Linked DNA regions of Notamacropus eugenii. The protein of the gene in region 4 purifies or fractionates together with the protein of the main gene of each other region. This does not show direct contact. Links are inferred from orthologs where the notes say so. Each region holds a gene or a part of one and is shown on either strand. Other genes may lie near its edges. The genes, in order: SAP30L, ARID4B, PHF12 and RBBP7.

Region 1 (7,037 bases), on a different chromosome or scaffold from region 4:
ATCATGATAGAAATGAATTTATTTCCTGCAATAGGAATGAAGAAGACGGGAAACTAAATTTCAAAGAGTATCTCTCATCTACTTAAGGGCAGCCAGGTGGAGCAGTGGATAGAGTACTGGGTTGTATAGTTTGTCCTTCGTTCTTGAAGAGGACCATATCAGGATGAGGATGACATGGCTTACAACTGAATTGGATTTGAGGGAGGGCTGTGCAAAGTCCCCAGCCTCATTTTCTCCTCCAGAGCCATCTGATTCCAGTGGCCAGATAGAGATCAGGGCAAGTGGACATGATCTAGGATGCAGTGGGACGCCTTGGCCTTTTTAAGCTGAGGTCTTTCCGAGTTCTCGCTTTGAATGAGGCAATACACATTTAGTGATTAGGCCTATTTCAGAAGTGAGTCAAAGAAAGACCCGTTAAATTAAAAAAAAAATCAAACTGTGGGGGGAAAGCCCTCAGGGTTGCTGGCCTAAAGAGAAACAATTACTATTTACATTCACTCTAAGCTTTGAGGGGGCAAAAGATAACTATCAAGTGGTGCTTGGGCAGGGATCTAAGATTGGCCAATCAATAAGAACCAGAGCGAAATGGGTTTAAGGCATGGTCTTTAAGAAAAAAATCTAGTCAGTAAACCCTAAGATAACTAGGTGGGTTTCAGCCATCAAAAGACAGGAAGACCTGAGTTCAAATCTAGCCTCTGACACTTACTAGCTGTGTGACCCTGGGCAAGTAATTATCCTGTTTATCTCAGTTTCCTCGTCTCTATAATGAGCTGGAAAAGAAAATAGCAAATCACTCCAATATCTTTGCCAAGAAAACCCCAAATGGGGTCATGAAAAGCTGCATGTAACTGAAACAACACAAAGTTATGAAGTGCTTTAAATGCCAGCAGCTTTTATGTTTGATCTTAGAGGTCACAGAGAGCCACTGGAGTTCAGTAAGTCTATTAAGAATCCTTCTTGACTTCTCTGCAGGCTTTCACACTGTTGATCACTCTCTTCTCTCTAGGTATTCGTGACATGGTTATCTCTTCACCTGTCTGACTTCTCAATGTCCTCTGTCACATACACTAACCATAGGTGTCATTTCCTCCAAAGTTTTGTCCTAGGCCCTCTTCTTTTCTCATCAGCTCCCTTGGATTCAGACACAACCCATACCAAACTTTTAAATTGATTAATTAGGTAAACAACACTTGATCTCAATTTCCTTTTCTCTTGTTTTGTCTTCATTCAGAACACTAACAGGCGTTAACATCTTTTTTTTTTTTATTTTTTAATGTTTAACAATCACTGCCATACAATTGAGATTTTATCCCCCCCCACCTACTCCCCACTACCCCCCTCCCTCCCCACGACTGCATACAATTCTGTATAGATTCTACATATACTTGCCTATTGAGTATATTTTCACTATAGTCACGCTATGTAGTCAGACTAAAATAAATGAAAGAAATCGTATAACAAATCAGAACATGATACACAAACACATACCCATACACAAACATGATCTGCTACATTTTGTGAGTGACTTCCATATTTCTTTCTCTGAGTGTGGAAGGCATTTTGCCTTGAGAACCACCTTTGGGATTTTTTTTTTTTATAAGTAGTTTTTGCGTTATTACCAGGCGTTAACACCTTAAGTCAGACCTCAGAGGTAAACTCTAATTAAGCAAGGTGTGGTCCTTCCCCTCCCTAAACCCTTAGGGGCTTTCCTGGTCTGGACACTGCCACAGTTTTTATGTCCCCCAGGGCAGGATGCTGCAGCAGGTTTCCAGTATGTTTACTGGCACTGACTTCTCCAACAGGACTCTTCTACCCATGTCTGAAATTTGTCTTTTTGTGTGATACTGGGATGAATGAAAGAAGATATTCCTCTCTGGACTTGTCATTATTCCAAATAGCTCTTCATTAATGGAACAAAAGTGGTACAGTTAGGCTCTTCTGTGACCTCACACAGCCATGTTACCCACATGCCATCTCCCAACTGGGTGCCTTTGCATAAACTAGCCCCTGTGCCTGGGATGCCCTCCTTCCTCACCACAGCTTGAGTCCGTAGCTCCCTTCAAAGCTCAACTCAAGTGTACCTCCTAAATGAGGCCTCTCTGGTCTCCTATTTTCCTGACCACCCTTCAATTTCCCCCCAAAATTACTTTTTATGTTTCATATTTACTTACATGTGTACATGTTTTCCTAATAGAATGTAAATCCATTTCTGTCTCTGTATCTCTGGTCTTAGCATAGCACTGATACATAGTAGGCACTTGAATGTTTGATTTAATACCTACTTTACAATGTTGTTAGTATTTTGCAAGCTATAAATACAAGCTATCAATACTCCTAATAATTTTAATGATTCCTCTTTTGAAGTATAGGTATAAAGTATGAGAGACAGAACTCTCTCTGCTTCTTCATGAGACTATCTCCTCTCACTCCTTTACTCTTCTGTGATCCTCAGCTACCAGACACTGTCTTCGTTAACTCATTTCCTTGGTTTTGAATCTTATCTCTAACATTTACTTTAAAAAATGATAGGACTTGAATTCGTCTCATTCTTCCCCCAATACCATCCCCTCATCCAAAACACTTAACTACCAATATGATCTTGGGCAAATCACTTAATCTCCTTGGGCCTCAGTTTTCTCATCTGTTGGCTAGGTGACCTCTGAGGTCCTCTCCTGCTTAAATCTAAGATCCTGGGATCTTCTTTAGCTTTCTGCTTGTAAGAGTGTCTCTGGTCCAACCCTTTCTCGTTTGGAGCTATTACCTTGTCTTTCTCACCTACCCAGTCAGTGCCCCTGTTTCTACCACTTCCCATACATACAATAGTCCTTGTCCCTCCACATGATTCTATTTCCCTATAACCTTTCAACCCTTTTATGTCTCTCCTTTCCCTACAGCACGTGTCTCCCCATATTCGCTTGAGTCTACTGCTCTAACTCTTGTCACTCTGTCCCATCATTACATCTGTCCCACTGTCTATCCATGTTCATCCATCCCCTCCCCCCAGCTCTTCTCTCTCTTCCCATTCCTTCTGTGGACTCATTTGCGCTTTCATCCATCCTTTCTCTTCCTGGGTCCTCATCTCTTCTAGGTCTCTCTATCCCTCTGTCCATCCATTCTGTCCCAGTGTCTGTCTATTCCTCCATCCTTGAATGTGACGTTGTCCATCCTTCCCATCCTTCTAAATTCCCCTAACGTGTCTCCACCCTTTGTTTCCTTCTTTCTGTCCCTTTCCCCCATCTGTCCCTATGGTTGTCCATCTCTCTGCCCCTCATCGTCTGACTGTCCCACTGTCCCTCTCTTCTGTCCCCTCCATGGTGCCACCTGTCCTCTGTCCTTATACTCCCCGTCTACCCCACTTGTCCTTCTATGTCTATGTCTACTCATCCCATCTGTGCCTCTGTCCATCCCCCCTGTCCTTGTGTCCCACTGTCCATCCTACTTGCCCCTCTGCGTTCATCAGTCCACCTCCAGTCGGACCCTTGTCCGTTCCGTTTGTCCGCCCCCATTTGTCCTCCTGTCCATCCCGCCTGTCCCTCTGTGTCCATCCATCTGTGCCTCTGTCCATCCCGCCTGTCCCTGGGACCCCCCACCTCCTCTGGATCTGCCCGTCCCCGCTACCCCGCCTGCCCCTCGGTGGCCCCGTCCTCCCCCGCCCGTCTTGAGGCAGCTGCTGGCCCCGGGCCGCGTCTCCTAGCCCGGCCACCAACTCTCTGGCTTTGCACTTTCTCTACTTCGGACCCGTCCCCGCAGAGTCCAGGAAGGAGCCGGCCTCTCCTGACTGGCGGGCGCGTCGCCCAATGACCAAGGCCGCCGAGGGATCCGGCCACGCCCCGTGTCTTCTAGAGTCCAATGGGAACTCGGGGGCGGGACTTCCGCCGCCGCCGCGGCCGCCGCCTCGGGGAGAGCGGGGCAGCCCAGTGGGCGCCGCGGGGCTCGCGGGGCTCCGGGGGCCGCGGGTTCGAGGCCGAGCCGGGCCCCGGCGCGCTCAGGCAGCGGGAGGCCGGGCCCGCGGGCGGGGCCGAGGGGACCGCCTCGGCAGGGGGGGCCGCGACCGGGCCGGGGTCCCGGGGGCAGGGGCTCGGGCTCCCCGTGAGCGTCCCCGGGGCCGGGGCCGGGGCCATGAACGGCTTTAGCACGGAGGAGGACAGCCGGGAAGGGCCCCCAGCCCCGGCCCCGGCCCCCGCGCCCACCGCCGCGCCCGCGCCCGCCCCCGGCTACGGCCAGAGCTGCTGCCTGATCGAGGACGGGGAGCGCTGCGTCCGGCCTGCCGGCAACGCCTCCTTCAGCAAGAGGATCCAGAAGAGCATCTCGCAGAAGAAACTCCGGCTGGACATCGACAAGAGCGTGAGTGCCCCCGCCCCCGCCGGGGGAGGAAACGGAGGCCCAGAGAGGGCAAGCGACTGGCCCAAGGTCACACAGCCCGCGCGCCCCCGAGCTAGAACCCGGGGCTCCCTCCGAGCCCCGCCTCCCCCCACCCCCACCCCCAGCACCATCCCCGCTCCCAGGTGAGAGGGGGGCGGGAGGGGGTCCGGCGGCGACCCTGAGCTGGAGGGCAGATGGAGCCTGGAGCCCGGACCGGGGCAGCTCTTGGGATCAGCAGAGCCGTTGCTTGGTTTCTTTTGTTGTGTGCGGGGTGAGAGTCCCAGGGTTTGGGAAGCAGCACCGGACGGACCACCGGGGGCTCCCCATTCTCACCCTGCCCTTATGGTCAGCAGGCTCTCGTGAAGCTCATTTGAGGGGGTGACCTTGGGCAAGTCATCCCTCCTCTCCTGCTCCCCGTGTTTAGTCATCAGTAAGCTGGGGGAGGTTGGGACCGATTATTTCTAAGCCCCTCCAGCTGCAGCATATTAGGAGGAAGGTGGTGGGGTCCCTTTTCTTCAGCTTCTAACTTTTCCCTCCTGGGGAACGTACATAAACACACGCCCTGAATTTTTCTTGAAGAATAGTCAAGTTGCTCATGGTTTATCCCCCAAAGGGTAAGGCTGCTTACAGAGGAAGGGTGCTTTCTGCTGTTTGTGGAAGTGGGCTTACAAAGATGAGGCTAGAAATAAGGCAGAGGTCGGGTTGGTTTTTGTTTGTTTTCCTGAGGAAGAGTGGTTTTTACGTTGAGTGGGAAAAGAGAGAGAGAGAGAGAGCCTTCCTGGACAGTTGTTTTTCCACTTTCAGGCCTTAATAGTTCCTTGCTTGCACCTCTCATGTATTTTATTCCATAGACTGAGTCCTTCCTTAACCTTTCTTGTGCATCAGCCCCCTTATAGACCTCTTCCCAGAATGATGATTTTAAGGAAATGCTAAATTGCACATAGAAGTTAGTGAAAATAAAGATTTAATTATTTTCCCATCCAACTTCATAAACCAATCCCATTTTCCGAACCATTATCTTGACTGCTTATGTTCTCTGAGGATAGAGACTGGCCTCCAGTCATCAAGTGTCACCTTTGACCCTGGGCAAGTCCCTTAATCTCTCTGTTCATACAACTCTACAAAATTGAAATTTGCGGAACAATTACCAATCTGCTTTGGTAGAATTGAGGGAGTTTTCTCACCTAGAGTACCCATGCAAATCTGAACCACAAACAAAAAAATCTTCCCCTGCACCCAGTCTTTTCCCCACAAACATACTAGCTAGTTTCGAAAAAACGCCTCACTTATTTGTAGCATTTTCTAGTTTACTAAGCCCCTTTCTGTCCACGGAGGTATGAGGTGGATAATGTGTGCTGATTTTTAACCCCATTTTATACATAAGCAAATTGAAGCCCTGTGAGCAGAAGTGCTGAGCCTGAGGCCACATGTCTCAGAAGAGGTAGAACCAGCACAGAAACCTGGGGCTCTTGATTTCCTCCTTCAAGTGCTCTTTGCATCGCTGTGCTACATCTTGCAACGTTATAAATATTTGTTAATTGAATGAATGGGAATTTAAATTTGATTACAACACGCTTAGGGCCTCCTACCTGATTGTAGGAAACTTGTCTGCAGGAGGTTCTAGTTTACAATTCTAGAGATGTTCTTAATTGGTTGATAATGAGTGCTTTTTAGAGTGTCATCTGTTGTCAAGTTTAGTGGCAGTTTCACTATTAAGGAGTCAGATTTGTTAAGGAGACTAGACAGGGTCTATTTAAAATTCAAGAAGTCTTAAGTGAGATGAATGAGTTCTTCCCACAGGTAGTAAGAGCCAAGAATCGAACCCAGGCCCTCTCACTGCAAGTCCAGTCCTCATTCCACCATTCAGGGGTGGGGAACCTGCATCCTCGAGGCTCCATGTGGTCTTCTGGGTCCTCAAGTGTGTCCTTTTGACTGAATCACGGACAGGGTTGGATGTGTAGCCTCGAGGCTGCAGGTTCCCCATCCCTGCTTTATATCAAACTGCCTCTCATGTAGAACTAAAGGATAAGCCGAAAAAAGAAAAGTTCTGCATTATCAGGTAGGTTTGGGCTTTTATAAATCCTTTCTAAAACTGTTTAGCAATTGCCGGAAGAGTGCCCTTTTGAAATCACAACTTATATTTACTACAGTTTATAGGTTCATTGACATCTGGATGCTTTTACAGCTGGATTGAGATTACAACTCTCCTCGTTAATTTAAACTGTTTTTGGTGGTTTTTCCATACATCTTAGGGATAGGAGGAAGAGAATGATGAATTGCAATAGCATTGCTAAAAGTAATAACTCCTCACTTCTCAAATGGTACTTTTTAGGAATAGATTCACTAGCAATTCTCTTTTCAAGGTGGTGTCATTTCAGAAAGATTCCATTTTCCTCTCAAGAATGAACAGGACTTCAGTTAAAAGTAACAGCTGTCTTGCTAAAAATCAGATTTGCAAACAGGGGGGAAAATGGAGGAAGGGGATACTCTTTCCAAATTTCAATCACCTGAATTACAGAAAATCTGTTTGTTCTTGTTAATGGTTAAAAGTATATGCTGACTCAGTATTTATAGAATCATAGAATGTCAGAGTAAGAAAAACCTTAGAATATAGAATGCATTTTTAGGACTGAAAGAGAGCTTAGAAACCATCTAGTTCAGCACCCTTATTTTTC
Region 2 (7,751 bases), on a different chromosome or scaffold from region 4:
ATCATCATAGAAATTGGGGCCACAGATACATAAAAATACAACAATTTTGACACTGGCCTTAATTACAAGCAAAATAATAATATCTAAAGAACTTAACTTACCACATAAAATTAGGTTGCACACAAAAAGCTAAGGTCTATACGTGAAAAAAGTACAATGTCATTGACCAACATTGTTCTTCTTAACCGAAGGGCTGAATTATGATGCCAAAAATAGTAGCATGTAAAATTAGTTCATTTTAAACTATCAAGCATTTTAACATTGGTACCATTTAAGCAAAAACTAACAATTTTAAATGCAATTACAAATATCCAAGTGTAATTTGATTTTGTTCTGACACATAAAACTGTTTAAAAGCCTAAATTTATTTCTTTAAAGAATGAGTTAAACAGAAAATCTTTAAGTTATAACTGTTAAAAACTTTCATAATTATCTGTTAAATATTGCTCCATTTTTAAACTTAATGTATTTTTCAGCCCAATATTTTCCCAAGAAATTTATGAAAATTGTGGCAGAACTGTGGTTTTCTTAATGAATTCACTTCTGGTAGTCTCACACACATTCCCCATTGTCATTATTATAATCATGCTTGTTTGTTTTCAGGTCTCACAGACACATTTAGTTTTATATACTCTTTAACTGAACTATACATATAGAAAATGAGAGGAAGAATGAAAAACCTTTTCATATACATGCATAAAGTACAAACCCAAGAAACTAGCAAAAACTGGATAGGCTATGCAGTACTCAGAATTTCAAAAGGTTACAGCATTTTACTTCCTTCCATAAACTTATGCAATACAAGCTTTAATTCTGATACAGTATTTTTTAAATTGCCTTGATTTTAAATAGAACCAAAATATAGAGACTGTTCAATGAACTGTCTAAAGTAGCTAGCATTTAAATTTTAACCTACTACAGTTTGCAGCATTATTACTATAACCAATTACGAACACACCCACCTTTTTCAAGCATAGCAAATTTTTACAGAAAAGAAAAATGTCTGCTTGGCTTGGTACCACTAGTTGAATCTAAATGATTCAAAATTCTAATTCTCTTTTCTTTCTAGTGTGTATTAAGTGAAAATGTCAATATTCAATACCTAGCTGAGCTGAAAATGTAAACTAACAGAGACATTTATGCCTACAATATGTTCAACCAAATAAGCAAACCCAAAAGGTTAAAAAAAAAATCCTGCATTTTATGCACTGTCCTTTATGATTTCTATCCTCACCACTTGGAAAACTGATTATCAGCTTTCCAGGTTTCTGGCTTGAGCACAGGGAAAAGTTTTCCTAAAAGCATGAATCGACTGAAAACGTTTAACCCAAAAGGGATCAGTGCAGAGGAACGGATCCCATACAGTCATACACAAAGCACTGTGTCCCTGGAAATAAATACAAGTCACACGGCAGTTTTCAAACCAGAATTCAAAGAACAGTTCTTCAGCAGAGTAAAAATTACCTGTTTAAAAACCCACACGTAAAATAGAATTTCGCTTTGTCTCTACTGACTGAGAACCCTCACCATGTCCAGTTTCCAGATGAGGGAGGTAACTTGACGGGCTTTCAGACTTGTCAGGGAGACCGTTCTTATCTCTCTCCCCGGCAAGAAGGCTCCTCTTAAGCTCCTCTCCCCACCGAAGAGCCCCAGCTCCGCGGCCAGGCCCGGCGTACATGCACCAGCTCGGACCCCATCCCCTCCCCGAGCTCTGCAGGACTCTGCGCGCCCCCGAAGGACCTCGACACGGCCGGCTCCCCCTCACCGCCCCACCCCCTGCCCGGAGGCTTCTCGCATGAAACCCTTTCTTACCTTCATGGTGGTGATTCGGCAGCCGCCGTCTTCTCGCAGACACAGAATTCACCTGCACCTGAGGTGAAACAAAAGACACCGAATCACCACCCCAGGAACCCCGTTCTCCGCGGGGTGGGGGACGAGGAAATGGCTCAGAACCCCCCGCCGCAAGTCTCCCTCGCTCCGCCGCCTCCCGGAAGGAAGGTCCCTCCGAGCCCGGCTCTCGCCCTCGGCGGGGCCGACTCTCCCTCCGGCATCCCCCCGCCGCCCCCGGGCCGGGCCGCTTCCCCATTGTCGGACCCGGTGGAGTTTCCCCGTCTCCGGCAATGACGCCATTTCTGTCAGAGGAGAAAGTCACAACAAACCCCGGAGTCCGGCCCCGGATCCTTCCCCGCCCCGAGCTCGGGCTGGCCGGCCTGCAGCCCAGCGGGGCCGTCAGGCCGGCGCCCCCACAACTGGCTGCCCAGCCCGGGGACCCCGCGGGGCTGGCAGCACCAGCGCCCACGGCGGGGTCCCTGCCCAGGGCTTCCGAGGCCCGTCGCCCCTTCCTTCTTCCCACTTGGCCGAGGCACGACGAGCCTCGGAGTCCGCGGCGGCGAAGGCCAGGCGGGCGGGCAGGGCCCAGCGCTCGGGCGCTCGCCGCGGGGGTGGCGACCACTCTCCTCCTGGCTGGGGAGGGAGGGCGGAGTGGGGGGGAGATACGGGGACCCACGACCGCCCCGGAACCGTGTCCCCTCTGGCCGCCGCATTGCCCCGCCAAGAAAATGCCCCTACCTGGCTGGGTGCTGAGGCTGAAGCCCGTCACGTCCCGAGTCCCCTTCCCCTGCTCCACCCCGAAGCCGGCGACGGGGAGCGGGCCCGGGGGGCGAGATGGGGGAAGGGGAGACCACGGGTCCGGCGGTGGCCGCGGCTCCTCCTCCTCCTCCCGCGGCGGTGGCTGGTACCTTTGTTTGGCGGCCGCTCTGGCTCCCTCGCTGGGGGGGAGGGAGCAAAGAACGAAGAAAATCCCTCCCGGACTCTGGGTCCGGGCCCCAAATCGGGCCCCCCTCCAAAGAAAGACAGCGATGGACCCTTTGCGGCTCCGTCCGGGCACTGGTCCAGACAGTGGCCGTGACGGCGGCAGCGGCTCAGGGTCTCCACTCCGATCCGGTGTCTGAGCAGCTCACTCCGGACTCGACTGACGGGCAAACATCACTCCCCCTCCCTCCCCCGATCCCCCTTCCCCTCCCCTTGTTCCCTCCCCTCGTTTTCCCTCCCGCCCCTAGCTGCCCTCCTTCCTTAGTCTGCCCGTTAGGAGCTCTGGGATTGGCTGGTCATCTTTAGAACCCGCCCCCACCCTTTCGTTATTGGTCCCCGGGATACAAACACCGACGCCATTTTCCACCAGTTCTATGGAAACAGAAAGTTACGCTGCATAGCTTGCTGGGAGTTGTAGTCCATCCCCAGGGGCCAAAGCTTCAGCCTCCCACCGCCAAAGACTGCAAAACCCCTAATGCTCCGCTTCGGCGTGCGGGAAATAGGAGTGGAGTGGAGGGCGGAGGAGGCCCAGAGCTAGTTATCGCTAGGGAGGCGGTCGCGACGCCTGCGCAGTGGGACGGGGATGGCGCATTTTCTCGCACCGAGTAATGCGGCGTCGCTGGCGGCTGAAAAGGGCGGAGAGTGCCGAAGTGAAGCAGTGGGAGGGATTCGTGTTGGTGGCGGGAGGAGCCTCAAAGTGAACTATAAAGGAGGAAGTTGAGGCACGGTAGTGCTGCTTCGGGATCGGCGGTGTGAAACAGCATTATTACCGTTCTACCGGGAGTGGAGGTGGAGGCGGCGGGGGAACCCGAATGGTGAGAGACCAGAGGGGGCGGGGAGAGAAAAGAAAGAAGGACAAGGACCCGGATGCTGAAGCGGGTTGCTGTGTGTATGTGTGTGTGTTTTTTTTCTTGGAGGGCAGGGGGGGAGGGAGGGAGGATGGAGGCGGGAGTGCGAGCTCCGTATGAAGAGGGAGTCGGACGCGGTGATCTCGGCGGAGGAGGGGCTGGCTTAGATACAATTAATAGTCCTTGGCTTGTGGCTAACGTCTGGTTGCCTGCGCCTTGTCAATTTCCTGGGGACTTCCTGGTGCGTTTTTTTAAGAGCCAGATTTGGAGTCAGAGGACCCGGGTGTGAATTCAGGCGGTGGTGCTGTGGGCACAAGGGGGACACCAATTCTCTCTAGACCTCCAATTTCTTCTTTTAAGTTGAGGGCCTCAGAACTAGGGTTCTCCATCGGATTTTGTGCCCTGGACCCCTCTGGCAGTCTGGCGAAGCCTGTGGACCCTTTCACAGCATTATTTCTTAATTCACAAAATCCATAGGGTTACAAAGTAAACTAATCATTGAAATGCACTTACTAAAATAAATTTTTACAAGTTCACAAACTTCCTCGCCCTTCTCCCACCCCCTCTAAGAATTAACCCTCAGAGTAGGAAGTTCCTTCCTGCTTTAAATCTAAGATTTCCTCAGACTCATAATCCTAAGGTTTTGGTGTTGAGTTCTAGCTCTTCCGAATCCAGAGAAAGCATCCGGCTTCACACATGCACTCACTTGGCAAAAATTTTTATTTTGACCTTCTTTATATTTTGCAAAAAAAAAAAAAATCAGGAATCATTTGATGCTTGATAGATCATTCGCATTGATCCTGATAATGTTTAATATAAAATTTTTGAATAATCTCTTTGTTCTCTCTGAAGCAAACTCAGAGAATGCCTCTTCCTATGTCAGCAAAAGCCAGCCAAGGCTGAGTCTACATTCCTTAGGAGACCTTTAACCTAAGACACTATATCTTATTATCTATAGACATATACTATGTTTGTTATGGCATATTAGTGGTAAAGAAAATATAAACATCTTAGATCGTAATTTCTATTGAACTTTGTTTACCCTTTCCTATGTCAGTTATCTGTTTAGGGCAGGAAGCCTGTCACTCACTGGTGGTGGGATTTCCTTCCTTGTCACCGAGACTATATGTTTACACAGCCTGGAATCTCAAGGCCCAACTGACATTGCTTTGTTAATTGTCCTGTCTTACTGAATTTATGATTTGCTTAATTAGGAGAGTTTCTTTCTCACGGCAAAATGTACTTAAGACAGATGATTTCTGTACTAAGTAGTCAGAGTCACAAATGACTCCATAGCGCTATGACTGTTATCTTTAAGAGGGAATCAATTAATTAAAAAATAACGCATGCCTTTAGTCTGATGTCTTTCCTTTAACCAAGTTTTCAGGTTAACGATCCTCATTGTCTTTTTTGATTGCAAGCCCCAGGCTGTTTTTCCAATCGGAAGAACGAGGAATAACGTAGTTATATGCCTGTTCCAGGGAGACATTTGTAGTTTTTCGTTCTCCTGTAACATTGGGTGTCATGTACCACAAATGAACTTAATTGAACTAAGGAGCTTGATACCTAAATTTAAAAGGTTGAGGATGTATATCTGCTGCAAAAAATTAAGATTTTATAGATGAATCAGGTTAGGACATATTCCACAGTAGATAACATATTCTGTCTTCTAAAGCAAAACAATAAGGAGATAGGGAAGGACCCCTCGTACTCATTACCTGTCTGCCCATGAGCAAATCACTTAACCACTCTAAATCTCAGTTCCTTCATTTATAAAATAGGAATAATTATGCCTTTAGTATATACCTCTCTCACAGGGCTGTCAAGGATCAAATGAGAAAATCTGCGTGTTGTGTTGTGGAGGGAGGGAGAGAACAGATTGTGTAATCTACCTTCAATAAATGACACCTACATTCCAAAGGAAAAAAAAGAAAATGTATGTAAAACACTTTCTAAATTTTAAAATGTGTGTGTGTGTGTTAGTCAAGGACAAAACAGCTTTTCTTATTCCCCCACTATTATTCCTGTATCTTCCTTCCTAGAAAAGACACAGTGATAAACATTCTGCTAGACAGAGAAAGTGGAATCATAGAATGTTAAGACTAAAAGATATCCTGGAAACCATCTCTTTCAACCTCCTCATTTCTACAGATAAGGAAAAAGGGGTCCACAGAGGTGAAATGCCTTGTTCAAAGTCATGGCTAATTAATAGTATCAATTAGTTTTTATTGAAAGCCTACCATGGGCCCAGTATCGTGCTCGATATTGTGAAACATACAATTGGTCCTTGCTGTCTGGCATCTTATGTTCTAATTTACAGGACAAAACTATCCCAAGAGACAATTGTAGAACTGCTTCATGCCCAGTCTTTATGAAGGTAGTTTTATTTTCCATGATTTTAAAAAATTTATTTAAATGATGTGATCATGGTAGACCTTCAATTTGAAATGTAATGTACCATCTCAGGACAGATCACAGATTATTACATTAGTGTCACATTAGTGTCATTATTATTTCCAAAGATACTTTGCAAAAGTTCAATTACATCTCTGTGTAATAAATATATAAAACTGGTTTAAGATAGAGATAGAGCTTTTAAAAATCTTATATATCACATTTTTCTTGTATCCCTTTTTCCAGACATATTCATAATAGTATTCTGCCAGATGTGGGGCAATTTAGGGAATTTACTCTGTAATCTTGTCATGGCAGGTGAAAAATTATCTGCTTTGTGTAGGTAAACAACTGTGTTATACAAGATGCTGTGAGTCTATGCAATATAGAGTTTTGAAACAAATTATATTAGGATTAATCATGTGGAAAGTAGTATATTGTAGCTTAGAAGCTATTGCATTTTTGCCCAACTGATCATTTGGGCCTGCTGCTGCAAGAGGTAATTAGCGTATGATCATAGTAGCTTGGTCCATTTCTTTTATTTCCTTATATAAGGGTGAGCATTTCATTTTGAAATTCATTACCATTTGTCATCGTAAAGCCTACTAGAGTCATGTATTTGTCATCTATGCCCATAAAATCAAAGCATTAACATATATTATAGGAATCTGCATATTTATATAAATGGTCAAATGTCAAATATTAGTAGTAAGGACCTGAAAAAGTTTTGTTTTGTCTTTTTCTTAAACTGCAAATAATTATGAAATGTAAGACTGCTTTCTTTTGTGTGTAACACCTCAAGCAGGCTAGATTCTCAAAGCTTATTACATTGTTGGCTTAATACCATGGTATTAAGGGGTGGAAATCCTGAGGTATAAGAACTCTTTCTTTGTATGCAAGAGCCTATAGAGAATGAGATCAGAGTCTGAGATGATTATCCTATCTGTTCAGTGAAGGTCACTAGAACCACAAGGGAGACTGAGGAAGAACAGTACTGTGAGTAAGAGGGTTGAGAAAAGGGAACTTTTTTTTTTTTTAAACAAAAAAACTAAGAAAAGTTATCAAAGATTCAAATACCTGGTACTATTAGACTCCATTTAGCAGCAACTTCTCTACAGTTCTGCTGAGAATCAGAAAACAAAGCTTTAAGCATCCAAAATAAATTTCACAAAAGACCATGCCCCAGTCTTTATACATTACACTTATAGTCTGTTTACTCCTAATTTAGGTGACCTTAACAATCTTGGTGTTTTAACCTACATTAGATAGGAAGAAGCAAATTTCATCAAGTTCTAAATCAGTTACTGAATAGAAAATTCATGAAATAGATGATCTAAGAAACTAACAAACAAAAGTACACCCAGAAAAATCTTTCTAGCAGTGTGATGCCATGACAAGGGCGCCAACTCTGGAGTCAATGGACCTGGATTCAAATGTTATCTCTAATGTTTCCTCTGTGATTCTGGGCAAGTCACTTAACCTCCGGAGCCTTAGTTTCTTCATATGTAAAGTGAAAGAGTTGGACTAGATGGCCTCTAGGGTCCCTTCCAATTTCCATTCTATGATTCTGGATCCTTTTCTGATAAAATTATAAGACTGATAAATCAGGAAGATATAGGCACATCATGTGTAGATTGCATGAGGCATTTGACAAAATTTGAACAGCTTAATTAGCCTTGCACAAGTTGCTCTGGTTTC
Region 3 (7,355 bases), on a different chromosome or scaffold from region 4:
TTCCCATCAATAGCTAAAAGCATTGTTCTCAAAAATCATAAGAAACATAAATTAGGCTGCCAATATTTATTCAACATAAATAAGGTGTTTTATAATTTAAACATTAACTTGGGTTGTCAGTGGTACATTCAGTTTCATCATCTTAAAGGAGAGTTAAACACATGCTGTACCTTACTTAACAGGAATCTCAACTTGCCAATGACCACTACCAATCTCATTCATAGACGGAAAAAAGTAATTTTGATTCACTGCAACAAAACCTGGACAAACCAGAATTTTACTACAGCTAGAGTGAAAACAACTGTTCCAGTTTGACAAGATTTAGTCTCAACTGATGAACTTAAAAATTCAGGAGTCAGGTTTTACACTTGTACAGTATCCAAGGTCAATTCCAGATTATACAAATGAGACTAGAGAGTGTGGGCCTTATCAAATAGCCAAGTCCTACGTAGAAGCCATTACACTCAGCTAACATCAACTACATCCAAGAGTAAGACATCCTACATTGCCGACTGACGTCCAGAGCCCTGTCCCAATACCACATCTACCAAACAATTACTATCTCACAAGAAGCAAGAATACTTGAAATTAACTGTCAATTCACACAAAATACCTCAGGTATAAGACATTCCACAGCACTGAAAGAGCAAAGTGTTCCTCCGGCTCTATTACACGTTACAGGAAGCATATACTTTTAAAAGCATGGATTCCCTCCCTTAATTAGTCATCTCACCATAAAATTTTTAAAAGCTACCAGCAAAGATTTCTGCAGGACAAAAACCCCAGCACCACCGCAAGCTGGGGTGCGCTCCCGGACAAGAACAGTACTCTCTGGAGCAGCAGGGGGCCTCTTCCCACACAACTTCGGACCACAACCTTAATTTCCTCACTATCAGTAATCAGTCTAATAATAGGTGGCTCAAACCCCTACAATTAGCACAAACACAGAGTATGCAGCATTTCACTCCATCCCAAACTGGGGAGAGAATGTGACTGAAGCTGGAGGGGAGAGGTCGGGCAGGATCCCCAGACTGAAAGGCGGGGTGCGGCAGGGAGCCCCCTCCCCCAGCCCGCCCAGTCGCTCCGCCGCCCGCCCGGGTCAACTGTTGCTGCAGGAGAGGCCGGGCCGGGCCGGGCCGAGCCGCAAACTGGGCTGCGAGGCGGCGGAGGCCTTTGGGGAGGGGAGGGAAGGGGAGGGGGCGGAAGCTCCCCGGCGGACGGCGCCCTTCCTCGGGCGGGGCGGACGGGGCAGCGGCCTGAGCCGGCCGGCCTCCCGGCGCCCGCAGCGCTCCCCTCCCCCGGCGGGCGCGCTCTCGTTTCCGCCCCGGCGGCCAAGGATTTCCCAGGCCCGGCCGCCGCCGAGAGACGCGCAATGGGCGCCCGGGGGCGGCTCTAATCGCGGGCCGGGGCGCGGGCCAGGCTCGCCCAAGAGGCGCGGGGCGGGCGCGGGGCGGGGCAGGGCGCGGAGGGGGCCGGGGCCAGGGGCCGGCCTCCCGGGGCTGCGGCCGCGCCGGCAAATCCTTTCTGCAGCCAAAATGGCGCTGAGAATAAAAATATAATTCCGAGGCGGCCGGTCGCCATGTTGTAAACAGAGGCAGCGGCCGGCCCGGCCCGGCCCGCTCGGGCGGTGGCAGGGGCGGCGGCGGGCGCGGGCGGGGAGGCGGCGGCGGAGGAGGCGCCCGGCCCCGGCCCCCCCGCGGCCCCGGCCCCGCGCCCCCAGCCCCGGCTCCCGCGAGGCGCCGCGGACCTACCAGCACTGGAGGTGGAAGGCGGCCGGGCAGTGGTCGCAGCACAGCAGGTCCCCGCCCTCCTTGCAGCTATCGCAGCTGTCGTGGTTGGTGGCCCGGCCGCTCCGGCGCGGCTCCTTCTCGGGCTTGCGGCTCCTCTTCTCCCCTTCCTCGCTCTTGGGGGGGGCCAGCAGGGCTTGGATTTGCTGCGCACACGGACAAACGGGGCGTGCGTGGGGGGCCCCGCGCGGGCCCCGGCCCCCCGCTCTTCCCCCCGCCCGCCCCCCGCGCCCGCTTTGTCCTCCTCCTTCCTGCCATCCCGCCTGCGCCTCGGGTTCCCCAGCCCCGGGCTGCCCGGGCCCGCTGCCCGCCGAGGCGGCCGGAGAGGCGGCGGGCGGACGGCGCGCTCCGCTTCCTTGTACGTCTACGGGGCCGGCCGGCCGAGGCCCCGGACCCAGACCGGAGGCGGACCGAGGGAGGGGAGCGGGGAGCGGCCGGTAAGGCACAAAGGGGCCGCGGAGGCGGCGCCGGGGAGACACCCCGAGGCCCCGGGATGGGGCGGGCATTCGGGCTCGGAGCTCCGATCGGGTGCGCCGCGGGCCGGGAGCTGCTGCCCAGCCTCCCGGCCCCTCATCTGGCCGACCAGGGCCGGGGGCCTCAGGGGCCGGGCTGCAGCCCCCTCCCCCATTCCTCCGGCGCTCCCGAAGCGGGGCTGCTTTGTAGGCCGGGGGAGGGGGGACTAGGCCCCCCGGCCTGCCTGCCCAGAGGGGAGGGGTCCGGGAGGGCCGCTCTTACCTCCATCAGCCCCCCCGACGTGTCCAGGTCGTACACGATCGTCTTGGTCTCCATTTTCTCCCACATTCATCCACCTCCCGGGCTGGGCGCGCTCCGCTCGGCCCCCCCCCGACCCCGAGGGGAGGGGGGAATGTGGGGGGAGGGGGCGCTCCTGACCCTCCCTCTCGCCCCAAGGGCCCGGACTCCTCGCCCCCCCCCAGCCCCAGCCCCCGGCCCCCGCGGGGCCCCCGGGGCGGCACCGTCCTCCCCTCGGGCCGTGAGGGGGGCGCGGCCCCTCAGTCCCGGGCCGGGCTGCTGGCTGCACGGTGGCTCCGGGCTCCCGGGGCTCGGGCCTCGGCGGGGCCTAGGCCCACAGGCTAGAGCCGGCGCTGGCGGCCGCCGGCCCGGCCAGGGAGGCTGGCGGGCGCTGCCATCCCGGGAGGGGGGTCGGGGTCGGGAGGGGGGGCGAGAGGTGAGCAGAGGTGGTGCTGTGTGAGGGGACTGGGGGGAAGGGGGATGGGGGGGGTCCCCGGGCTCCGCCTCTCGCCGCCGCCGCCGTCTGCGTCCCCGCTGCCGCGCACTTGGCGCAAACTTACCGCGAGCGCCCGCAAAGCCGCCCGCGCAGGCGCTCCGGGCTCGCCGCTCGCCGCGCGCAACCGCACTGACAGCCGGCGGCTTCGCTCCCGCGCAGGCGCGCAAAAGGGGCGCCCCCCAGCGCGCAGCCGCGCTGGCAAACTCCGAGAGCGCCGACGCCCCTCCCACCCCTCACCGCACCGGCGCATTGGGTGCCGAAGGACCTTCTTTCTGCGCAAGTGCATTGGAGGGCTCTGAGGCTCACGGCGCAGCCGCTACGAATAGAGGAACCCTTCAGCCGCAGGCGTCAGAGGACGAGCTGCTCCCTGCGCAGGCGTACTGAAAGCTCCAACTCCGATCCCAACCCCCGGAGCCCCAACCTCCGCCAAAGCCGCACCCGCTTCGCGCGCAGGCGTATTGTTGCCTCACGAGAGCGCGTTTCCCTCCGCCATCTTGGTAAAGGGAACTCATACGGGTATGTTCTTGGAGCTCTCCGACTTGGGTGAGCAGGACACGACAAGCTGTGGTGCTGGCTGGGGTTGTTAGGCCGTCGGTAGTGTTGGGAGTTTTTAGTGATGCTAGTCGTCACCGTTTGTCTAGGCGCCAGTGCTGACGGCTGCGTTGGACCTGACCGCCATGTTTGTAAAGGGGGAAAAGGGACGTTTCGACCAAAGAGGGACTGCTAGGGGCAGCGGCCGTGGCAGTCACGGCCGCGGCTAGATTCCTGATCCTTCCCTGCTCGAACAGTTAATCGTAGGACGAGCATCTCGATATTTAAGGGGAGAGGGGCCGCGGTAATATCGTTTCTCACTGGAGAGTTCCGCCTGCCCTTGCCTCTGGACGACCGTCCCTGGGAATTGCTTTTCAGTACTAAGCCAGAGGCAGAGAGCTCCTCCACGTCATTAGCTGGCTATCTTCCTACCGCGGACTTCAATTCCCGACATGCAACGCTCTAGGTGCTCCCGGGCGTAGGGCGAAGTGCGTTGCAATCTGGGAACTGAAGTCAGCGAGTCTCGTTGTGCACTATGGGAGTTGTAGTCCGGGCGACGGCGCCGAACGTTTTGTACAATACAGTATGGAACGAACGCTGAAATTAAGGAAGTATTCAGAGAGTTGGAACCCTGGCTCTGAAACCCAATCATCGTCTACCTGCCACCGAGGCCCAGATTCGCCCAGAAAGCAGCCGTAAGCCAGGGATGACAATACTTGCACCATTTGCCTGCATCCCAAGGTCGATAGGAGAGCGTGGGAGCCTCTGGTAACTCCCATTTGCACAGCACTTTAAGGTTTGTCAAGCGCTTTCTGCACCACCGCCACGCCAGGGGAAAGCGTTGTGCTGTAGAAATGGGAGCTGCCGTTAGTGCAACAAACAACCACGTAAGAGCATGGTCTGTCCGTTAGGCGCTGGAGTGCTGCATGCTGGGATTTGTAGTCTCTGGGAAGTGAGCGTTCCTTCCCCATCTGGGCTAGAGGTCCCCACGGGGAGGGGGGGGGGGGGGGCAATGATGTCTAGGTCAAGAGTGAGACCTACAGGAGGAGAGCACTGTCGATTGTAAGCTGTGCCAGGCCCTTAATTTTGCGTGTCAGGTCTCTGTGAGAGGCAGGCAGGTGGATACGTGTCTGAAGGACACTATTATTTCACTCAGAGTTTGGGAACATTTTGGATTGGAGGTACAGATGGAGAAGAGTAAATGAAGGTCATGCCCCAGGGTGAGGGATGGTCCACCGGATCTCCGATGCACAGTCGTGGAATATTCAGTCTGGAAAGAATCTTAGAGATTGCAAGTCACGGTGCTAGGTAGAGGCAGGGTTAGGAGCTGCACTCACTTTTCCCAACTCCTTTTCCAGCCTAAAGAGTCAGGGTGGTGCAGTGGAAAGAGGGATGAATTTGGAGACAGGACCTGCATTCAAATCTTGTTTCTGCCTTTTGCCCACTATGTGACTTTGGGTCCCATTAGGTCACTTAACATCCTTTGGTCCTTATTTTCCTCATCTATAAAAGGAGGGGTTGGATTAGATGGTGTCAGAGGTCCCTTCAAGCTCTCAGTCCAGAATCCAGTGATTCTCCATACTGAACCTCATTGCCTCAGTCTAACAAATTGCTCGTCCTTCTTGTGGGATGGTAAGACCAGCAGAAGTCTGTGACCTTTGCTTCACAATCTCCCTTCCTTCAATCAGGATACTTATGTCAAGGAAGGGAAAGAAGTGACTTTCCTAGGGAATATCCTCCCTCCAGGAATCCACTTATGGGGAATATACAGGTATTCACCACTTCTCTCTGCTGCCTCTGTCTGTGCTGTTTAAGGTTGGTGATTGACTCTTCCCAAAGTGGAGTGATGAGTGAGCCATATACCCATACAGAGAGAAAGAGAGAGTGAAGGCTGCCAGCTTCAGCCTCTGCTAGAGCCCTGTTGCCCACGCTGAAGGACTCTCCCACAGGTTCTCTGAGGTTGGGACCTCAAATGCCCTGGTGTCATTGGCTTTACTCCTGCCCCCAAGGGCTCAGCTGCGCTGCTGTGTCATCCCTGTGGCACCAGCTTGGCAGGGGAGCTGGAGAGAGAGGGAGAAGCGGCACCCCTGGCGCCCTGCCCAGCAATCAAGGCTTTGTTTTGATCAACACCATCAGTTGCAGCCACAAGCAGGAACAGGAGGCGGGCTAATGAGGGAAATCAGGCTGTTCTGGTGACAGGTGGAAGGGAATCAAAGTGCTCAGGAGACCTCCCACTTGGGTCACGGTAGAGAGGAGTTGCCCACAAGGGCAAAGGAGCGGGCCTTGGTGGGCTGGGCTGGACCAGAAGAAGCTACCTTGGCAAGCCTCAGACCTGGAGGCATGAGCGTGAGCCAGGTCGAGCAGAATTCTCTGCAGGGGACCTCTTGTGGTTGATTGGGGAACTGCACCCTTTGCGTTCCTTGGGGATGGGCAAGGGAGAGATGGGAGGATCCTAGGTCTGGAGCTAAAAGTGTCCTCCGAGGGCATCCTTGTCCACCCTGCTCGTTTTACAGAGGAGGAAGCAGGCCCAGGGAAATTGAAGTCCCTTGGCTAGGAAGCATGCCTTGAGAAAAAGAATACTCAGATACACCAGGGATGGTGGATCTTTGACTGAGGGGCTTGGGAAGGTGCCCAGCCGCATTCCTGGGTCTGGCTTGTTGCCTCTAGAACAGTGCCAGGGAAAGGAAAAGTGGAGTGTGCTGGGTAAGCAGCTAGACTCCTGGACAAAGGGAGTGCCCACCAGGGGAAAAGCCAAGTCATCTGCCTCTCCCCAGTGGTACCAACTTTTTCAGGCTTTGTTTTGCACATAATGGCCACTCAATAAACATTTTTATTCTTGTGATTTTAAGGGAGCCCAGGATCCATTTTTGTGTCTGCCTTTGCCCTCCCCATAGTATGCTTCCGACAAGTAAACACCATCCACCTGACCACCAGCTTTGTTGAAAACACCTTTTTAATAAGGAAACAACAGAAATGAAAGATTGTTCTCTGGCTGGAGCCCAGACCCTAGATCCTATGTTACACTTTACACGTACAAAGTGGCTTACAACCAGTTCCTTGGGTCCCCCACTGGAGCAGGCTGGGCCAATTTTCTGGGCTTGTGGACTGCCCCTCTCCTGGACTTGTTTGCCTCTATCCCTCCCTTCCCAAAAAAATGGAAAGAAAAAATATTGGTGGATGGAAGAGAAAATTATATGTCTGGAGTTGGGAGAGGTTGGGTTGGGAAAGAAAGATGTTTATATAATGAACCAGCACATCAGGGGAAGGGGTGTCTCCTTTCCTCATCCCCTTCTCACACACACACACACACACACACACACACACACACACACTCATTCTCACACACTCAAATACTTCAGAGTGTGGGGCAGGCCAGGGAAGGATAGGGTTGTCCCCTTTGGTATGGATTACATTTCCCAGGAGAACCAGTCCTGGTTGGGTGGGAGTCCCCAAACCCTTAGAGTCCCTGGGATTGATTCCTTTCCACCCTTCTGGCTTTTGGGAGAGAGGGATAGTTGTCCACTTCTGGAATAGGAGAGGGGGATTGGGGAAACTTATTGAGGTGTGTGTGTGGGGTCATTCCAGGAAGATCCAGAGAATTGACATCGCCTAAGAAGGCAGAGCTAATTGTGGACATGAAACTGTGTGGGCTCCTTCCTACCTCTTGGTCAGCCCCCATTCTTTGCCTGTGAAGAACATAGAGGGGAGGTTTCTGCCACCCTGCCACCTGGCCTGCCTGTAGTTCATTTGCCCATGGTTTGGGAGCATAGAGACTGAATGGAAATGCTCTG
Region 4 (7,047 bases):
ATAGCACTTACCTTTCAGAGTTGTAGTGAGGATCTAATGAGAGAATATATAGTTAAATTTGTATAATTGTAAATTATACAATTATAAATAAAATTATAAATTTGTATAATTGTAAACTGTTGCGCACAGTACCTGGCACATAGTATATGTTATATAAATGTTGTCTATTATTACTCACGTTATTTTCTTAGGGAATGGATATGTGAGGTTTGACTACATTTAGATGTCTTTCATCCAAACATACTGCCTAAACTCCCTGTAGGTGTTCACTATTTAAATATGGAAAACGAAGAAACCAGGGGCACTTTCATGCTATTTCTTCCACAATTCTTAAACAAGAAATGAGGAAAACAAACTCAAGAGGGGAAATAGCAGGTTATTTGATAAAGAATGTCATAAACTACTAGCATTTAACTGAAAGACAATTAAGAAGATCCGAATTTTCATATGTAGAATGAACCAACCCAGAATCTGAAATCAATAATCTACTCATTATAATCCAATGTTAAAATACCATGTTACTTAGTTCTTTCCTCTGAATCAACTTAACTTTGCTCATGTATTTGTACAACACATACAAGCACAAGAGTATTCCACATTTTCTAAAGCCAACATGTGTGGGTAGGGTATAAGAAAGCACCACAACCTATAAAGAAAATGAGCTTTATATTATGTTCACATCTTAATCAACAAAAAAATTAAACAAAGTAAAAATTAATCGGATTAAATAATACATTAGTCCCCTTAGTCTAATTTTAATTATTTTGGCTGCATACCTAAAACATAATTTTTTTCTTACATTATTTCAGTTTACACTACAATTTGCTGAAAAAAATCATATACACTTAAGAGGAAACTAAAAATTATATTTTAAAATACTCAGCACTAAATTATTTCCAAAAGTTACTCTGTAGCAACCTCTCTTCCTTACTTCTACCCCAAACCTTTGTCCTTTTCTCCCTATAGCAAAAAGTACTCACCTGTAGTTTTGAGATATTGCTTAAGCAATATTTCCTGCAAAGGCATCCTTATTTACAGTCTCTATTTCGTTCATAAAATTATATTCATCTTGAAATAATACCCAATACCTCACATTTGACTTACTTTAGCTATATCCAACCTTAGAGTTTGTCCTTTATGATACAAAGAAACCATACATTCCAGCAATAATTCTAATTGATTCTAAAATTATGGTTAAACGTCTTAACCCCTATTTTAAAAACAAAATATATGCAAATATTTGGAAGTAGAAATTTACAATCCCCCAAGTCTCCCCCTTCCCCTCATCCCAATATCTGTTCTGTGAAAGTAATTTTACTGTTTGTAAAAGTAATATTACTGAATTGTTTAAATTTTAGTTACCTAGTTACATCAGGAAGCCACTGAACAGTAAGGCTGGGCCATTCGAGGGCATGTGTCATAACCAAGTCATATAAAAATGGGGTATTCTTTTTCCAGATTTTATATTCTTCATTGATAACCCGCTCCTCCACCGTATCTTCAAACACTGAAAGTAAGAGAACACTAATTAATATGCTTAACTAGTCTAGGAACTTCAAAGAAGCTCAAGTTTTGAGAATAGGCATATATGGTTAGAATATGAGCTCCTTGAGGGCAGAAACCTTGTTTGCTGCCACTGTTATCCCTGGCACTCAGCACAATGTAAGGGAGATACTTAACAAATACGTAGTGAAGGATATCTTTAGTCAGGGCTAATATGATTCTATTAGACAAATGTTTTGAACTTTTTAAAACCTACCACATCTGTCATATTTTGGCCCTTCCGGTTCTGCACAACTATTAAAGAGTATAACCACAAAGACTTTCCTGGCAGCCTTAATATCTAGTCATTTATTTACTGCAAAAAACAAGCCAATATTTTGCAAATACAGTTTGGCCATTATGTAAGTAATTATTTCTTGGGAATTCAAGTTTAGGCACAGCTGACATCTGCCATTCCACCATGAGTCTCCAGAACCTAGTACTGCAAGATGCCCTTTCAATTACACAGCAGAGTCTGTGGAGGGGAAGGCGGCAATCTGACAGGAAAATAGGAATCCAGATTTCGGTGGATGGCTCCTCCAAAATAGAAATGACATCTCCAGCCCTCCACGCACTACACCAACTCAACAGACGTGCCCTTTGACCATACGTATTTGTTACAATCGTTTTTTTTCCAATGGAAAGTAGCGGGAGAGAGGGGAAAAAACCGTATTCATCATTTTTAAAAATCAAATTTAATTTTTAAAGCTATGCCTCTCCCCCTTTGCCAACCTGCGAAGAACAAAACGAAAACTAGGGCAGTTTGGTTGGGCCTCGCGGCCGCACCCGAAACCTGGGGTAGCCGGGAGCCCGGGCACCCTGGTCTCAAGGATGGTGCTGAAACTGCCGCAGGACCAAGGGCACGGAGAAAGAAAAAGCACTTGTCTCGCCTGTTTCCCAGCCCCCCGGAAGTGCCCAGGGACCTCCGGGCCGCGTCCCCGCCCTCGCCTCCCCCAAGCTGTCCCCGCCGCCCAGAGCCTTGTTCGCGCCTTTCTGGGGCTGACACCCCGGGCGCCCCCCCCCGCCCTGGCTTCCTTCCACGACCCGCGCACGCACGGAGCGCGAACCCCTCCAGGAGCAACCTCTTCCCCGTAACCCCCCGTTCCCCTCTTACTCTCTTTATTCGCCATCTTGTGTCGGGCAGTGCGCCCCGCCGGCCGCCAGGCCCCTCGGGCGCCGTCTCGATCTCCCCCGCTCTGGCCGCGCGACGCTAGCCCGCCGGGGCGCAGACAGTCTCCGCCGCGTCACCCAGCGCCCACAACCCGGAGCCCCGGACGCCTCCGCCACTTGCTTTCTAACCCCCTCCCCCCCTTCCCCCCGTCCTCCGGAGTCAGGCCGTGCAGCGCTGCTTCCCCCGCAGCCGTGGCTGCTCGGACCCCGACCTCTTCCCTCTCTCTTTCCAAACTTGGAACGAGACTTTCAACCCGCGCCTACCAGCCCGCTCCGGTCGCAAAGGCGCATGCGCACTACGAGTCCCTAGAGGGCGGGACAGGAGAGGAGAAGGCGGCCAAGGAGGGTCAGAGAGCAAACGGCGCCTCCGCCGCAACCAATGACAGGCGGCGCCTAGGCGCGCGTGCGCACTGTAGGGTGTACTGCTGCGGGGGCGGGGGGAAGGAGAGAGAAACTGAGAGACTGGGAGAGAGAGGCGGGGAATACTCGGGATCCGCGGGCGGGAGCTGGCGCGCACCTGGCCAGTCCTGCCTTCCTTTTCCCCTCCCCTAGTTATAGAGGAGATTTTGCACGTGGCGTGGAAGTCCTAGTAGTATTGCACTAACCGGGGAAATGACTGCGTGTTGGGGAGCGGCCGCCAGGAAGCTGCGGTTCTCGAGTCTTGCGAAATCCATAATCGTGTCCTGTGTTGCTAGAGGAAAGACCCTTGACCTTCGCAAGCGCCCTTGAAGGAACTCCCCGCGCAATGAGGTTGTCCCCTGCAGCGCGCAGGTGAAAAGGTGGGGGTGGGCGGTGCTCTGCGTGCGCTCGCCGCCGGCCGGCTTCCCCAGGAGCGCGCGTTCGTCGCATCTGGAGATCCCTGGAACGCCCGCCCTTCCAGCTTGGAGGTCCTCGGAGCCGGCGGATCAAAGCGCTTTAAAGTGGAGGCGCCCCCTCCCATGCGTCTCCGGGAGCCTGTGGGCTGGCGGAAGAGCTGCCCCTCCCTGGATGGTCGGACCGCCCTCGCCGGAATGGGGGGCCCCGTTCATTTGGGACCCCATGACAGCGGAGGCGCCGCTGAGGAGGAGGGGAAATCCGCCTGCTTCTGTGCCGGCTGGAGCCCGCTCAGGGTGCTTAGACCGGGTCATAAAATGGGCAGAAATGTCCTTCTAAAAGTCGTTCTTAGCAAAAAAAGGCATCAACTTAAGTATAAAATGCAAAGAAAACCAATTCTGTTGAAATTCACTTATCAGCTTTTTTATTTACGTCCACAGGCCTCAGGTGAAGAACTCTTCTAGACAGTTCATTCCTCCAAATGGAATTTTTGTTATTTTGTCTGATTCAAAAGTTCTGGAACTACTTTGTGTCATGGTCCCCATTGGCTGTGTGGTGAAGCCTCTGGACCTCTTCTCAGATTAATGTCTTAAAGACGTAAAATAAAATACATAGGGTTACAGTTCTATCAAAATAGTTATTATTTTTTAAGTTCACAGACCCTAAAAGGCCTCGAAATGGTGCAATGGAAGAAACAAGAGGAACTGCTTCTGTGCAGCCTTGGAGGGTCCATTCCTTTAGTCTTCATGTATAAAATGATAGGGTTTGCCTAGATGCCAGTCTGGGCCCTTGGAGCTGTAATTCCACCCTTCTGGACTGGACTTTGTGTTCCTCTTACAAAATCAGGGCTGTGCATGCTGTGGCATCCTTTGCTTAACTTTGCCTCCCCTCTTTCAGGGGAAGCACTGCCTTTCTCAGAAGAACCAAGGCATAGTGCCCATGGGGCCACTTCATTCTTTGGCCCTGGTCAAATAGGCATTAACCCCTCCTGGCCCTGAAGAAAAGACTGATAGAGGAGGAGGTTGGCTGGATCTGGGTATGGAGGAAGTGGACACTGTAGGCTCCACACAGGGGAAGTGAGAGACCTGAGAAGGGAATGATGGTGCGGGGATACCTCAATACTGAGAAGGCTAACCGGGGGTTGAAAACTGTAGGCTCTATATACTCCTGTGAGAAAGGGCCCCACTGTGAAAATACATAAGGAGTAGAGGAAATAATAATAGTAATGCCTTGCTTGAATCACACTTAATATTTTTAAAGTGCTTTCATTGTACAACCTCATTTGATCTTCAAATGAAATAGGAAAGATATTGTTAATCTCTATTTTACAAGTGATGTCACTAAGACAAGGAAATGAAATGACATATGGGCAATTGTTTAAATAGAGTGAGAGGTTTAGTTTTCCTAATTTTCCTGTTTTCCAACTCAGTGATTATTTGACGATGCCATGCTACCTTAGACTTGATGTGGGGAAGGACGGCCTTGGTATTAATTGACAAAAGCTATGGAGAGTTAAAGACAACTTACTGTAGCAAAGAGAGCACTGGACTCGGATTCAAGCTACTCAGCACTGTAACTTACTACTTGTGGGCAAGTTAAGGAGTGTATTTATTTATACAATGAGGGGGTTGAATTAGATGATCTCTTAAGGTCTCTTCCAGTTTATAAATATGTGAAAACAGACTTGCTATTTGTGAAAACCTAGGGTTATTGTTCTTTCCATAGTACAGGGTGTATGACCTTTCGCTGGCAAGAGAAGTATTATAATAATAGTAATAATCCTGTGCCTTAAAGTTTACAAAATGCTTTGACTTCTCCTTAATTCAATTTAATAAATATTTCGTAAAAGGCTTCTATGTGCCAGGTTGTGTGCTGGTATTTTAGGGATGGAAAAAAAATGACATTGTCCCTGTCCTTAAAGAGCATACATTCTATTGAGGGAAACAACATGTACACGGACAGGTAAGCTTAAGATACACTGATAGTTTAACTAATATTGAACCATCCCTGAATCCCTGTTATTAATCCCACCTGGTTATAGTGTATGATCCTGGTGATAGATAGCTGTAATCACGTCAACATTCATTAGAGAAATTGGTCGATAGTTTTCTTTCTCTGTTGTGGCTCTTCCTGGTTTAGGTGTCAGCAGAATATTTGTGCCATAAAAAGAATTTGGTAGGACTCCTTCTTTGCCTATTTCCCCGAATAGTTTCTATAGTTTTGGAATTGTTCTTTAAATGTTTGGTAGAATTCACTTGTATCCGTCTGGCCCTGGGGATTTTTTTCTTGGAGAGCTCATTGTTGGCTTGTTCAATTTCTTTTTCTTAAATGGGGTTATTTAAGTATTCTGTTTCCTCTTCTGTTAATCTAGTCAGCTTATGTTTTTGTAAATATTCATCAATTTCACTTAGTCCATCAGATTTATTGGCATATAATTGGGCAAAATCGCTTTTAATTATTGCTTTAATTTCCTCTTCATTGGTGGTGAATTTATCCTTTTCATTTTTGATACTGGTAATTTGGTTTTCTTATTTCTTTTTTTTAAATCATATTAACCAGTGGTTTATCTATTTTATTGGGTTTTCCTCCCCACAAAAACAGCTCAGTTTTATTTATTAGTTCAGTGGTTTTCTTTCAGTTTTATTAACCTATCTCTTGATTTTTCAGGATTTCCAACTTGATATTTGATTGGGCATTTTAAATTTGTTCTTTTTAAAGCTTTTTTTAGTTGCATGCCCAGTTCATTGATCCGCCCTTTCTCTGCTTTATTGATATAAACATTTAGAGATATAAAATTTCCCTTAAGTACTGCTTTGGTTGCATCTCATAAACTACGGTGTGTTGTCTCATTGTCATTCTCTTTGATGAAATTAGATTGTTTCTTTAATTTGTTGTTTGACCCACTCATTCTTTAGGATTAGATTATTTAGTTTCCAATTAGTTTTTAGCCTATCTTCCTATGGCCCTTTATTAAATGTAATTTTTATTACATCGTAATTTGGAAAGGATGAATTTAATATTTCTGTCTTTCTGCATTTGTTTGCAGGGTAATTATGCCCTATGGTCAAATTTGTATAGGTGCCATGTAATGCTAAGAAAAAAGCATGTTCCTTTCTATCCCCAATTTTCTCCAGAGGTCTATCATATCTAACTTTTCTAAAATTCTATTCATCTCCTTAACTTCTTATTTTGTGGTTAGATTTATCTAGTTTTGAAAGGGGGAGGTTGAAGTCTCACCCTAGTATCATTTTGCTTTCTGTTTCTTCCCATGACTCATTTAACATCTTCTTTAGAAATTTGGATGCTATACCATTTGGTGCATATATGTTAAGTATTGATATTGCTTCATTTAACAAGATTAGATCTATTTTTGCTTTTGCTTTGTCTGAGATCATGATTGCTACCCCTGCTTTCTTTTTACTTTAGCTGAAGCAGAATATATTCTGCTTCAGTCAGTCTTTTACTTTTACTTTCTGTGTGTGTCTCTGGTTCAAATGTGTTTTTTGTAAACAACATATTGTA

The links.
Region 1: the proteins of RBBP7 (region 4) and SAP30L purify together in Homo sapiens (affinity purification with mass spectrometry; 3 studies listed by BioGRID and IntAct, counting the BioPlex papers as one, with this or other methods). This does not show direct contact. The link is inferred for Notamacropus eugenii from reciprocal best matches to the Homo sapiens genes RBBP7 and SAP30L.
Region 2: the proteins of RBBP7 (region 4) and ARID4B purify together in Homo sapiens (affinity purification with mass spectrometry; 3 studies listed by BioGRID and IntAct, counting the BioPlex papers as one, with this or other methods). This does not show direct contact. The link is inferred for Notamacropus eugenii from reciprocal best matches to the Homo sapiens genes RBBP7 and ARID4B.
Region 3: the proteins of RBBP7 (region 4) and PHF12 purify together in Homo sapiens (affinity purification with mass spectrometry; 5 studies listed by BioGRID and IntAct, counting the BioPlex papers as one, with this or other methods). This does not show direct contact. The link is inferred for Notamacropus eugenii from reciprocal best matches to the Homo sapiens genes RBBP7 and PHF12.

What each region holds. Positions count from the first base shown.
Region 1 is NC_092872.1:382,823,983-382,831,019, forward strand, and holds the start of SAP30L (histone deacetylase complex subunit SAP30L), read left to right. Parts: upstream 1-4,036; 5' UTR 4,037-4,119; coding exon 4,120-4,344; intron 4,345-7,037.
Region 2 is NC_092873.1:394,938,898-394,946,648, forward strand, and holds the start of ARID4B (AT-rich interactive domain-containing protein 4B), read right to left. Parts: upstream 3,005-7,751; 5' UTR 2,569-3,004; intron 1,871-2,568; 5' UTR 1,819-1,870; coding exon 1,813-1,818; intron 1-1,812. UniProt on the Homo sapiens protein: Acts as a transcriptional repressor. May function in the assembly and/or enzymatic activity of the Sin3A corepressor complex or in mediating interactions between the complex and other regulatory complexes.
Region 3 is NC_092873.1:36,320,474-36,327,828, forward strand, and holds the start of PHF12 (PHD finger protein 12), read right to left. Parts: upstream 3,013-7,355; 5' UTR 2,589-3,012; coding exon 2,523-2,588; intron 1,934-2,522; coding exon 1,752-1,933; intron 1,027-1,751; exon of another isoform or gene 1-1,026.
Region 4 is NC_092876.1:372,855,114-372,862,160, reverse strand, and holds the start of RBBP7 (histone-binding protein RBBP7), read right to left. Parts: upstream 3,009-7,047; 5' UTR 2,673-3,008; coding exon 2,657-2,672; intron 1,508-2,656; coding exon 1,363-1,507; intron 1-1,362. UniProt on the Homo sapiens protein: Core histone-binding subunit that may target chromatin remodeling factors, histone acetyltransferases and histone deacetylases to their histone substrates in a manner that is regulated by nucleosomal DNA.